Styela clava: one gene and its partner. The protein of the gene in region 2 purifies or fractionates together with the protein of the main gene of each other region. This does not show direct contact. Links are inferred from orthologs where the notes say so. Each region holds a gene or a part of one and is shown on either strand. Other genes may lie near its edges.

The links.
Region 1: the proteins of negative elongation factor D-like (region 2) and negative elongation factor E-like purify together in Homo sapiens (affinity purification with mass spectrometry; 9 studies listed by BioGRID and IntAct, counting the BioPlex papers as one, with this or other methods). This does not show direct contact. The link is inferred for Styela clava from reciprocal best matches to the Homo sapiens genes NELFCD and NELFE.

Annotation. Positions count from the first base shown.
Region 1 is NC_135250.1:12,754,276-12,760,809, forward strand, and holds negative elongation factor E-like, read right to left. Parts: upstream 2,326-6,534; 5' UTR 2,319-2,325; coding exon 1,389-2,318; 3' UTR 524-1,388; downstream 1-523. Other genes in the region: drebrin-like protein B, read right to left, coding at 3,332-4,939. UniProt on the Homo sapiens protein: Essential component of the NELF complex, a complex that negatively regulates the elongation of transcription by RNA polymerase II.
Region 2 is NC_135263.1:11,076,114-11,084,076, reverse strand, and holds the start of negative elongation factor D-like, read right to left. Parts: upstream 3,009-7,963; 5' UTR 2,900-3,008; coding exon 2,846-2,899; intron 1,998-2,845; coding exon 1,882-1,997; intron 972-1,881; coding exon 862-971; intron 14-861; coding exon 1-13. Other genes in the region: fasciculation and elongation protein zeta-2-like, read right to left, coding at 5,971-7,254. UniProt on the Homo sapiens protein: Essential component of the NELF complex, a complex that negatively regulates the elongation of transcription by RNA polymerase II.

The DNA of each region.
Region 1 (6,534 bases), on a different chromosome or scaffold from region 2:
AAATGAAAATGCTATGCAAATCCTTCATAGAAATCCAATAATTCCAACCGCAAAACATCAGTACATAAATTTAATGCAATTATTTTTATTAATTATAAGCACAAATTGATAGTTGTAAGACGTTTTATAATTTTTTACAAGATTCATAATAATAGTCATAATCAGATAATATAAAATGGAGATTGAGATGAAATTGTGAAAGATTCCGGGACTCCGATAAGGCCCTGATACCGTGTTGACGCAATTGCCCCACATTAGAGGAGTATGTCTTGACCACCAGATTGGCGTCAGCGGCGTTGTCTTGTACGACTTTGAGAGCTGTATCGCTCGATATGTTCAATTGGACGCTTGCTTTTCCAACTGCCTGCCTGGCTTTGATGTCGCAGCCAATGTCATCCTCGGTTCATCATGCCGACGGTTGTATTAAATGAGCACTTGTTATATCGTTGATATGACTTGACCCGACCTCTGTCTCTGCGATAAAGCCATATTGCATACACATGACGTTCGTATGAAACGGTAGTCTTAGTCGAAAATCAAAAACTTTTATTGCAGTTATATTTTTATTGATTTCAACACTAACAAAAAACGAAAAAACGGACAGTGCCAACAGGAGTAAAATTAAATTAAAATTTCTTAAGCTATAATAAATAGCTTATTAATAATAGTGTGTCATTTCTATCAAAATTTCAAAAGATAAACATGGGAGACTCATTCATGACTACATCATTCAATCTTAACTAGAGCCTGCTCCAAAACTTGGACAATATATTCTGACTCAAGGAGTAGAACGATTCTGGCCAGGAGGATGTTGTAAAAAAAAAAAAAAGTCAAAAGGTAATAGGAATTTCAGTAATAATAAATATAATATATGGCAGTTGCAAGTGTTAAAAAAATTGATAAACATGGACATCCATGCTCAACTTAAAAATTTGTGATTATAAAAAAATAGCCCATACAACACAGATTTTTAGAAAGAACATTTTTGTGAATTTCAAATATACGATCCAAACGAGGCGTGAAATAAAGGACCAGATATTTGGTATCGGTGTAATGTCTAGTAATAGTATATAAGCCAGGGGTGTGCAACCTTTAATACAGGAGGGCCACATTCAAATGACGGAGGGTAAACCGTGGGCCGCACCTTTATTTATCTTAAGCTTTAAAGTAGTTGCAAGCACAAAATTTTTGGTTAATAATCTTTATGACATGCGTTGTTCGCTTTGCATTGTATCGTATCGGAATTACCCACAGGTACCAGATTAAACTAAATTAAAAACTCATTTCCCAGGCTGCACACACTTCAAAATCGGCACGTCTCCGCAGGCTGCACAATTTTTCCTTGTGGACCACAGGTTGCACACCCCTGCTATAAGCCATAGAAAATCTTAGCTTGAAAACATATCATCATCATCATAAACTACGAGCGCTCTTTTTTCTCTGCGATTTGTAGGACCTTTATCACTTTGGGCAACGACTAAAGGAGCCCATAACGATGAAGACATTGCAGATTCCAGCATTTTTTGTCGCCTGGCAAGAGATACTTTCAATCTTGTTCCTTCAACCATCGCATCATTCATTTTATCGATGGCAACATCTGCTGCTTCTAGGGAGTTGTACGTTATGAAAGCACTCCGTGCATTTTGTTCAATGTCTATTTTAATAATTTTTCCAAAACCTTGGAAATGACTTTCAAGCAGTTTTTCTGTTAAATCACAACCATGAATATAAATTGTGTTCCCTTTTCTTGGTGCATGTCTCTCAAATTTACGTTCCCTTTTTACTTTTTTGGGGCTTTCTTTGCGATTTTGCACAATTTTTTTTGGTTGATTGTTATTGCTCTCAATAGCGTTAGACTGATCTTTTAGTGACATATCATCACCTTGGTCTGATGAACTGCCCGTTCCACTGCAAGGACTGAATGGCTGAAAAACAGGTTTTTTCATCACTTCGTCTCGTTTTTTCTTGGATAACGAGCGTTTAAAGGTAGTTTTTGTTTTAACTTTGACCTGTATTGCACCCGATTTAATAAGTTTTTTAGCAGCTTCAGTATTAGCTGCAGCGTTTAAGGAAACGTTTTTGATATTAGCAACAGCGTCTTTTCGCTCTGGAATATTACACTTCAATATTGAGTCTGATGCAGACTTCATAAGCCCCTTTTTCTGTTTAGCCTTTGTTGGGCCATTTTCTGCAGCTTCATTTTCCTGTTGTTTGCGCTTCATACGAAGCTGCTGTAACTCTTTCTTCTTCTTACGTAGTACAGTATATTTTTTCTTTAAAAATTCTTCTTCATCCGTTAGCTTTGAAGAAAATGTCATAATGAAGTCTTTATTTTAAGATCTAAATTAAGACATAATCGTTACATTTGAATATATGTATAAACTAAATGCAGTTTGGTAAAGACACAAATGAGGGAAATTGCTTTCCCTATTGGAATACGTTGAGTGAGGATTACAAAAGCAAATATATATAACTTGATATCATCTTATATCAGTTTCAATACAAATGATATTCATTAGGTAAGCTCACAATCAAATGATATGACCTTGGATTCAATTTGCATGAAATAAGAATATTGACCGAGTAAAGTATGACATAAATCATGATCTTATCTGCCTAAAATATAGCCAACAATTAATTATTCTAATGGAGGACAGAAACAAATTAAAAATTGTAGAAGCATATTGTTATATACTGAATGTTTTTTGATTGAAAAAAAAAATAGATATATTACAAGCAAACATTGTCTGACAGGATTTGAAAAAACTGTAATCAAAAAAAGAATGAAGTTCAAGTCTATTTTTGATTTTCGATTAAAACAACTATGAAATAATAGTGTTTTATAATTGGATACAACAATAACAAAGACAGCCAGATGTCAAAAACTGCATTAGAAAAATAATTAGGCGCAGGTAACATTGTTTATAACAGATAATAATACCATTATAGTTTATATGACATTCAGGTAAAATATATAATTAAAACTAGATTGAATTAGCCAACCGAGCTTTGATACAGCCATAGTTATTTATTAATAAATGATGCAACTATCTCGCCTAAGTAAAGTGATTGTTAACATTGAGAAGCAAAATAGCAAGAACATGTGTAGCCCGCTAGTTGGTGTTCATGTCTTAGTATAATATAATCTTGCGTGGATATATTATTGTGACTCATGCTTATTTACAAATATTTCACTTTCAAGATGCATTAGTATGTTTTCACAATACTCAATGTCAAAAAAACACTTGGTGATTGGATTGGTCCTATAAAGGCATGTTATAACTTAGGCAGCATCACAATAAAGAATATATTCTTTGGCAATTGCAGTAATTTACTCTGTAATAAGCTCCACATAATTAGCTGGAAAAAGTCCATACTTTCCATCTGGTGTTGAACCTCTCCACCATCCTTCATCAATCATTTCAATGTTAGTGATGATATCGTCTGGATCAAAAGTAATTTCGGAATCATCAGCAGCTTGATAATCATAAAGAGCTCTTGCTGAATGTGGACTTTTAATATCTTCATCATTACTTTCCCCAGGATTTTCTCCTACTGCATCATATATATTATCTTGTGCCCCTTGACCTTCGTCCTGTTGATTATGGCCCACTGCATCATAAACATTATCGGAAGTTTTATGACCTTCTGCTGCTTTTGGAGCAGATTCCAAACGCTCGACATAATTGAGAGGAAAAAGTCCAGAGTGTCCATCAGGGGCCACACCTCTTCCCCATGCCTCGTCCATATCTTCAATATCAGTGATAATATCATTGGGATCAAAACTGATCTCGGTCTCATCAACAGCTTGATAATCATAAATAGCTCTTGCTGAATATCCACTCTTATTTGCTTCCGCATCATATTTTGTGGGTTCCTGCTTATTGTCCACAATATTGTTATCGTTATTCCGAGTTTCTTCTTCGAATGTTTCATATTCTGGTTCTTCAACATCAGCCGGTTGATATGTTTCAATTGGTCTTTCGCCTTGTTTCGAGGGCTGCCTTTGAATAACAGGTTGACTTGAAGGAGTCGCTTCATTTATTTTTTGTTCCCATAAAGCACGCATATTAGTGTCTCGTTGTTGCACAAGATGCGCTGCTTCAGCTGCTTTCTCTATAGATTCACTTCTTTTTCTTCCCCGTTCTTCATGTGCTTCAAATTCACGTTGTTCTGCTTCCCATTTTTCTTTCTCTCTTTTACGAACATCAGCAGTGTCGTCAGTAAGTTTTGCAGCTCTTACTTTCTCACTAATTTCTTTTTCTCTTTCTTTTTCCCAATTTTGTCTTCTCATGCTTGACTCTTTTTCCCTTTCGCGAACTTCTTGAGCATATCTATTTTTCTCTTCTTGCGCCTTTCTCAATTCTTGTTTTTTCCTTTGCTCTTCTTCCCTTTCTTGCTTTTCCCAATAATTCTCATTTCTTTTGGAACTTATTTCTGCACCAGGATTTATCTTTTTATATACTGACCCAACAGGCTCAGATGGATCATCATATGAACCTTTTGTCTTGTCAAATGCATATGTAGACGCGGATGCACGATTAATATGCTCCATGATTTGCTCTGGGGTAACATCATCCTCGTTTCGAGCATTGATAGTAATGTGAGCTCCTTTAAAAAATCTTTCCACATCCCTAACATGGTTGGCACAAGCACCTTTCCTATTTGCAGGAGCACCTTCACCTTGCCAATGCAAAAATATGAACTTGTTGAGAGAAGTTTTTGGATCTTTAACTCGAATAAAAGCATACATGATCTTGGAACTATTAAATTCAGTTTCTAATTCTTCCAAGCCATCTTCTCCAGTACCTGCCACCTTCAATTCATTATCTTTACCTTCATACGTGAAAAGAGCCCAATCTGTGTCCGATTTTTCATCAAGAACCTCTTTGTAGGTATTGATTAACGCCTGTTTGTGTTTAAAAAAACTGACACTCATTTTTAATAAACAGCTGGATGAAATCACAAAGCAACACTAATTTTTGGTACACATATATATATTATATACAATCCAAATTCAAAGCTGAAATCCAGTCACGCTACTGCACTATTTTTGATATTGAATGTTATATTAGAATTTATTTATCACTCGATACAACATGTTATATTATCGAAGTAGAATGTGTGAAGAGGCAAAATAAAAGCTTAATCAAAACAGCCATATGAGATTCTAGGATTCAGACATCGCAGCATTGGGCTGGTGTGTGTCTGATACAAGACTTTGTTGGTGCCATAGTCACAGCAAGTGCAGAAGTGTCAGTACTTGAAATGAGTCAAAACTTTTTATGCAGTTAATGAGAAAATCCAAATCAGTATATACCGGGGGTCTAGTATAGTTTAGTACCACAAGTACTTCCAGTGGGCGTAGCATAACGATTTTAACGAGGAATAACATATGAACCCTCACCTGACTATGCCATCCAAAAATTACGTCACTACGACGTCACCATCACGTCATAGGGATTGCCAAAGTATAATTACGATCGCCCGAAATGGCATCTGCGCCACCGATAAGAACTTGCTAAAGCCGGCAATCTCTCTCCTATCGTGATCGTTGCGATGAGAAAACGAGAGAAATAGCTTGCTCGATTTCGGGTTATCGTCTGCGCGTTTTGGACGACCATCCGCATATATCGGTGGGCCTTACTACAGTATTACGCCACTGTGAAACCGGTAGGACGTAATTTTTCGGTGAAGTAGTCAGGTGGGGGTTAGGATTGACATATGCAAAAAGTGTTGAGCCAGGCCAACTAGAAGTGGATGTGGTACTAAACTATACCAGACCCTATACCGGTACCTGACTACCTGTTACTGTGTTATGGTCACCCTAATATTACAGTATTAGGGCTTCTTATCCCAGCATACATCTCACCATTTTCCCAACACTCAAGACACTAGGATTAAACTGGTTGATTCAGTACCGCGAATACAGTACTGCTGTAATATTAGTTGCATTGATAGATGATGAGGTTTATTTTGAACCCCGTCGTAGTAACCGTACCGGTACAAAAATCGCAACACACAACTACACATTTACACAATCAAAGTCCAGAAGTCGGGCGGGGAATGTATATTGACCATCGGACTAAAGCAATCCTGTTTCTTCAATAATAAAACGATATTGTATTACCGGTCCCGATATTTATTACGGTATTATATTATATATACTGATATATCACTGTATTACCGGCACCGATATTTATCACGGTATTATATTGTATTACCGGCACCAATATTTATCACGGCATCTCAGACTCAAACCCTACGTACGCTCAGGCGCTTGTGAAATTCGGCCACATTTTAGAGCTAAGTTAGTGTTTTGGAATCAGTAATCAGTAGTTTATTTTCTCACCATACTGAAAGCACACTTGACAACAGCAATTTTTACTCCATAAGTCAATATACTATTATATCGGTACCTTACAGACTTCTCGTTCACCAGTTACGGGTACAATAAGGGTATCTATTTCCCAGATTATAAACCATCTAGCCACCTGAGCACAGCCGACGCCATTACTGAACAAGATTAATTTA
Region 2 (7,963 bases):
GTAGGAGCTAAACCTATTTTAAAAATATGGATAATTTTGTAACAACATTAATGAACCATAGAACTTTAAAACTGCGCTTGGAATTAACGTTATCCATAAATCAAAAAGATTGTATTAATAATATTTTGCAATGAAAGGTAAAAGGTGTGGGATTGCATCCAGCCAATTACTTACCGAATGTACTTTTTTTTTAATTTTTTTTGAATAAGAAAAACAATTAATTCTTCAAAACATGTTTTATTTTCGCTGCTTTTTTATATCTCCATAAATGGAAAAATCGTTTTACAAGCACTATGTCACATGGTTCCGAACAAAGACAAATACAAGCTTCTACTAATCCCCATTAGGCTGCTAGGCTTGGAATGACTGAAAAGTATCATTCATAATCAGTTACCAAATAAATGAGTATGTAGAAAATAGTAAAATTTATACATGTCTGTCAAAAATGTACCTTTATTTGTATCATTTTCATTTGTACGATTTCAAACATGTAGCAAATCTCATAGTATCAATGCAAGAAGGCACAGAGTTTTCCGAAAAGATCGGCAAGCATACAATATGGAAGCAGTTGCACAATATGGGATAAAAACCGTTCCCATTTAATTAAAGCAAACAGTTCCTCGAAATATCAAGTCACATGGGGCTTGGAAAATAAAAGCATTAACCTTATAAGGACTACTTCCATTTTTTAACTCGATGCTTGCATTAGTTGCGAAACTTCCATATGTACGCGTCATGTCCCAAAATAAAAAGTTAACCACAATTATATAACTGCGTCTACCCACTTAATTAACTTTTAACACTAATTGTTTACAAGAATATGGTAGATACATAGAGCATGAATGCATTACTAAGACTTACCACACATAATCAACCATTCAGCAAGAAGATTGACAGTTTGTGCAACAGCAGTATAATTATCAGACAATAATTCAACAACTTTTTCTGGCATCCCTCCTGCTTGGAAATACCTAAAATCCAAGAGAAATATAAATAATTGTGAACATGATAAAGAAAAAAGGGTGCTCCTGAAGTATGCGAACCAAGATGGCAGACATCGGAATGTAGCATGGGTAACAGGTTAAGGTTAGGCCATAATTTTATTCCAATTTTCCTTATTTTAGTCCTATTATGAGTTCGAAGAGTAGCCAAGTGCCTCCCGTAGTATTTGTATCTAAAATTATGGCCTAACCCTAACCTAGTACACATATTACATTCCGATGTCCGCCATCTTGGTTCGCATACTTCAGGAGCCCCGAAAAAAGTATTGATGTGAGTGACATCCAAATTTTGATGTTATGGCTCTCAATATATTTCTGTGAGATGTACAAAACAAAGATTCAAATTTTGAATACCTCCAAAATCAATAATTTTTAATATAGAAAGTTATGCATTAATTATGCATATGTTAGAATGTAAATTCATAAAAAATATTAAGCATCAACATCCGACAGAGAATTCAAGCCAAGTTAACAGCAATGTTAATTTTTTACAATATGCTATTCAAGAATACAACAGCAATTTGAGCAACTCTCTCTTAAACATTACCCAATTTAGGATATATTCTATTACAAAAATTTTAAAACTTTTTCAAAAAAAATTCTGGCCTTTTCAAATCCTTTGTATACCATAAGTTTCAATACTCTAATTTATATTAAAGGCGCAAACAGTCGATAACTAAACCATATGAAAAACAACAGCCTTGTGTCCAATCATTATTACGATGGCGTGTATATCAATAAATAATAAAGAGATCTCCATTGTTATATTATTCCTTTATATAGAAAATTTATCAATTATATCAGTTGAAAATTGAAACCTATAAAAAATAAGGCTAAAAAAACATGGACATAGGTATTCATAAAGTAAATAATATCTTGCCCTTTGAGAGTGTTAAAAATGGAAGGCTCCATGATATAATCAGTACTTGCTAAATTTTTCAAACATTCATTTCGTGTTGCTTCCATATCATCACCAATCTCAGCTTGGGCACCAACCTAGGAAAAAGTAAAACCCATTTTGACCATTTATTAGAAAACGAAACTAATAAATCAATATTACCTGTTAAGATCAGATTCAATAAATCAATACTTTCTACTTTGCAAACAACCAAAGTCTACAATATTGATGACCAATAAAAACAGTCTCCAATTTTTGGTGTGCTTCACAAGAAGCTATACGACTGCCAATTTATTTTGAATTTTATCAAATGTTAAGTCTGAACAAGGCTCAGAACAAGCAGCCAGGAACGGAATCTTTCCAATTCTACTTTGCGTATTCAATATATTACACCCTGGGTGAGATTGTGGTTATGGGTTTTGAACTTAAGATACTTGACAGGCACAAAAAAAAATTAAAATAATTTCGAAAAGTTAGATGTAACTTGCTTACGTTACCAGAAAGAAGATATCTACAATATAATAATAATATTGAGTACCTGTTATCTCAAAAGCAAATCATAATTTCCAAAAACTATTTAATTTAATTGGTGAATATGCAATTAAATAGTTGCATATATAGCAAACATTACACAAATATCTTTATTTTGATAACAGATTCCCACAAATAATTTGTCCTGTACATATTATCAACTATTAAAAAAAAAAACTTGGTACTTCAATACCCCACAATATTTAGGTTGTTCTGTGTAAATATTACCACATATTCAGTTGAGTCAAGAAATAAAAAGGACTTTTCAATTGTTTGAATACCGAACAGGAATTAGGCTATTATATTCATTGCAAAAGAAATACAGCAAGATAGTCTAAATTAGAATTAATAAAAACATTTTTTTTGCAACAATATATTTTATTGAATCATCTCCAATGTGATCTCTGCTACTTACTCCTTCGGCCTGATCATCCCATGCAGCTTCATCTTGGTTATCTTCATCTTCCATATTTATTTTGAGATATTTAAATCCAAATTTCTATTTTAAGAATATTGTTCTAACTTATGACATAAAACATTGTGAAAAAATTGAAAACAATTATTAAATGAAGTCATGAAGATCAAACAATACAGATGAAGATATAAAATTAGCAAAAATAGGAAAAGTAAAAATTGTTGACACTGTATGGGGCATTGACATATGATAAATATAGAATACGGTACTAATTAAAAGTGTACCATCTCGAAATTATTCTGATTTTTGGATAATCGCTTCTGTGTTCATACTGATAATAATACAAATCAGAAAAATAGTAATAATGTTGGGTCACTTCAAGGCAAGATTTCCCGGTTTTAACATCTTTCTGGCAATTTCGAAGCAATACTACACCAAAAAAACACATGGGACACTGGCTGCTACAAAAATTATGCTCTTACTCATGAGAACTTTTTCTAGAAATTATTAGCATAAATTAATTTAAAACACATGAAATTTTAAAATGGGTATAAATTATGGTTACATGCCTAACATAAACAATTTCTAGTGGAACATCGAAAAAATGTATCAAATCCCGAAATTATGTTGTGACTTGTACTAAAAATTTAAAAATGATTTTCTTGATATTTATTCGACAAAATATAATATAACTAATTATAATGATAAATAACAGCACCCTCAATAAAATGCTATAATAACCCAACAGTGGATACTCTAATATGACTAGAAATCAATTTGATGTTGACGAATAATATACTACAGAATTTTTGTATAACAAAATATGAATTGTACTAAAATAAGTTATTTTAACTGCTCCTATAAAAAGTTGCCTTCTCAATTTATTAACAATATTTGATATTATATATCTATTCTGAGTATTAAATATTTATATAGAAAATACGCGATAAAAATGGTCCTTATTTTAGTTAGGGCAAGTCAAACATGAACAATCTATTCATATCAAGTATGATACAAACATAGTATAAAATGGGACTGTGTGGCCACAAACTAGAACTGGGCAAGTAAAAAGAGCAAGTGATAATTAATACAATAATTAATATAATTTACTCATGCAAACATCAATTATTAAGCAATCACAAGAAGTGTGAAAAAAAAGTAGTAATGTTTTTGAAGAAAAATGAAGAGTAGTAAAGTGTCTTGGATGAAAATTATAACAGTTAGTATTTGCTGATAAAATACCATAATCAATAGAAATGACAAAAATTAAGAACAGACAGAAAACTATTTGTTTGAATATTGAGTTTGAAAAAAAACATGAACCTATTTAAAATCAGTGTGCAGTGCAGGATTAATATGAATTTCCAAAAAAGATTTGGGAATATATACTGGTATATATAATCCAGTCTTAGCGACTGAAAATAATAAACTCAGGAGATGTTCATTATACAATAGATTGATATTTTTAAATCGCTGCCTACATTTAATTCATTGTTCAAACGTTTACCGAGATATTCATATTTAATAGTTTAATTTTCTAGAATTCTTTTTCAGATAAAACCTTGATTTATAGGAAAATTGTAGCAAAATTTTTGTAGCAAATCATGATATATGCAATTGGAGTTATAAAATCCCACATAAAACTCTAAATACAGGAATCTGGTTGCACACCTCAAGTCTAGAAAGGACAATTTTTACAGAGTACATATTTTTGCTCGTGAAGAAGTGTCAGCAAAAAAAATAAATTGTATCATTAAAGAACATGTTTGACAATAGGTTGAGATTACGATACTGTTAAATATATAATGATAATTGAATTCTACAGCAGGCACCACTGTTGCAATTACTATGTTGACAAAGAAGTGAATTACAGAGTTATAAAAACCTGATAAACAGCTCAATCGAAACTAATATTCATTAACACTGAGAATAATTAAATAACAATCAATTGCAGGTAAAGCATTTAACAAATTAAGTATTATTAACATCATACACACACGGCACCCCTTTAAAAATGTACAACAGTGTCGCCAGCTTTTGTTTTAAATTTATTATTGAAATTATTATGAAATCAATTAAGTATACAAAGAATTTGTTCCGGCACAATGTGGCCAAGTAGTCAGTATGTCTGTCTGATTATGTTTGAATATTAAGTTATGCCCAGTGGAGTATGATTTGAGGTATATTCCTACAACACTTAACATACACAGAAGTATATGAAATATGAAAAAAACGTTTCACTTGACAAATTAATTATTGTAGTAGTAGCAACAAAAAGTCCCATCCACATCCGATCTTTTTACCAATACTGCACTAAAATTACTCAATACTGATATTGAAAAAGCGTCAAGATATGGCTTGAAAAGTGTAATAACCTTCATACAATTATATTTTATTAACTACCATACTTTACTAAATAAAATGTACCGATTTAAAAAATTTATTTCTAACGGGTTATCTTGCATAATGATTTGACGGATATAAAATGAAGAATTCAATAAAAAAAGATTCTGGCAAAGTGAATAATGTTATGGGAACAAAGCAAAGATAAATAACAAAATAATAAAAGTTAAACCTATCATGAATGACTAACTGGCAAGCAATGTAAAGTTTTGTAGCAATTGCAAATTCATAATTCCTTATAACATAGGTAAATTTAGCACACTGCTGCAGAGAGATATCCAAATAACTCCAGAATTTGGTTATGAAAGCGGAAAGCGTCAATATATAATATATAACGTTGAAAAATCAATTTATGTCACAAAATATTGTCTTATTTGCGATACTCTATACATTACAATATTGATACTATGACGTACCCCCAAAGTATGCCAATTTAAACTGAGTAGAGGGCGATCACAACACAATTAAGACTGTTAATTTCATAATGGAGCATCACTATATTGATTACCGGTAACTGCAAACTAATTAATACATCTTTAGGAACATTATCATTGAGTGGGACAAACTACACAAAAATTTGACCATGAAGCTGATCAAATAATAGAATTACCAATAAAATAACACAATTTGAAATGGACGAACTTGGAATAACTTTTCCTAGGAAAAGCTGCATTGAAAAGTCAAATAAATAAATAACCATGCGTCATTTGAATTGCGGCATCTTATAAAGTCAAAGTGCGTGCGCTTGTCGGTGCCGGAACTAATACTTTCAATATATAGTTGGTTATCAACGACGGCACTTCTTCACTATCTGCTTTGATGGCATCTAGTAATTTAATAAGAGCCTGAAGACCCTCTAGTGGAGGAACACCACCTTCGTCAAAAGGAATTACAGTAGTGAGAAATCTCCCAGGAGAGGATGACACTGATGCATTTGACATGCTGAAACTTTTTGACAATTTCCCTAACTTGAATCTGCTAGAATGCGCTTTATCATTCTGCTGAAATTGTTCCTGTTTACGTTGAACTTCTAATATTTTGGAAATAAATGTGTTACGAACTTCTTTCTCGTATAAAAGCTCATCGCGAAAATTTAACTGATTCAACAAATCTTCTGAAAGAAACTTGACAGTACTTTCCAAGCTACACAGCTCTTCATTTAATTCCGCAATTGACATTTGTTTCAGACTAGACGCTCTGTCACTTTCCTCCTGACTGGATGGCGATCCCAAGTTACGTCCATAAATTATACTGCTCTCGTCACTCATCAGGTCGTTTTCAATTGAAAATGCATCTATGCTTCCATCAGTATCAGCAATGATAATTCCAGTTTGTTGTTCCAACTCGTCGTCAAATGCTGCGTCCTGCTCATCTGCATCCAACATAATTTCTTCTAGTTCTTGAATGACTTCATCCGCAGATTGTAATTTCCCATTTCCAGTTGTTTCAGAATTCTGACAAGACATTTGATAAGGCTCACATTCTGAGTATACATTATACTCAATTAATTTGTGAAAATCCATTTGATTTTTAAGCTCATTGCTTTCAAATTCTGAATATCCATCGAGATCTTTTTCTACATTGCTTTGGTCTGATATGTTGAGATCCAGAGCAGGAATGTGTAATTTACGAATTTGTGAACTACACCAATCCAATGGTTTAACTAATCCATAGTTATCAGTGATCGACTTCCAAATATCATTGTAGTCTAAAATATCATTTAATGTTTGTAATGGTTTTACAATTTTATCATTGTTACTTGATTTATTTTGTATCTTAAAACATTTTGAAATCTTCTGCTCAAACTTTTTAACCAAATCTTCCATACTTCCATAATTCTCTGCAACGTTCAATGTTGTGCAATTATTCAGACCTTGCGTTATTCCATTTCCAAAAGAATTGAAATAATCATCACTGAAGCAATCCTCCTTTTTTCCATCACATGAAAATGAATTTGATGAAAAATTTCCCCAATCATCCTCAGTTTCTGCCATAGGGGCAGTCATTTTATAGACTAAAAACTGAAAAATAAATCAAACTGGAATAAGAAAAGAGGAAAGGCCAGGACAAGAAAATGTTCACATTTATCAGCATATCTCTGGTCTCAGGGTCTCTGTATATCATATATTATCTGTATATCAGAATATTAGTTCTTCGATTCCAAGAATAGCCCCCACATTGAAAGACATCAAACAAACAGTAAGTGTAAACCCCTTCTTTTTTGAAGAATCCAATGGTGATGTTTTCATGTCACAAATTTAAAAAACGAATATAGTCTTTTTGCAGTTGACAAGTGGTCCTTAAAGAATAATAAACAAACTCCTAACTCAATACAGCAATATCAGAATATGAGGACATGTCTTACAGTCTTATGACATACAGATGTCACCTCATGGCCCTAGGCTATGTACGGTAATTGCATAGGCGGTAATTGCGCGGCGGAGTGGCTCAACGGGCTAAGCGTTAGGAATACGCTCGCCACCGCACCTCTAATTACTCTGCGTGGGTTCGCAGGTTCGAATCCCATGCAGGGATGGTTATGTGCGTGAGGATTGCTGGACTCCTCGCCGTCGTTGGGTGGTTCACGTAACCGCTGGTCGGTTACGGCTTCCTCCACCACCAAGTCCATGCTTCCGAAAACAAACAATACAACTAATCCCATACCCGACTTGGAATGGTAACCGGACGAGAGGCCGTGGTTCGCCATAAGGATAA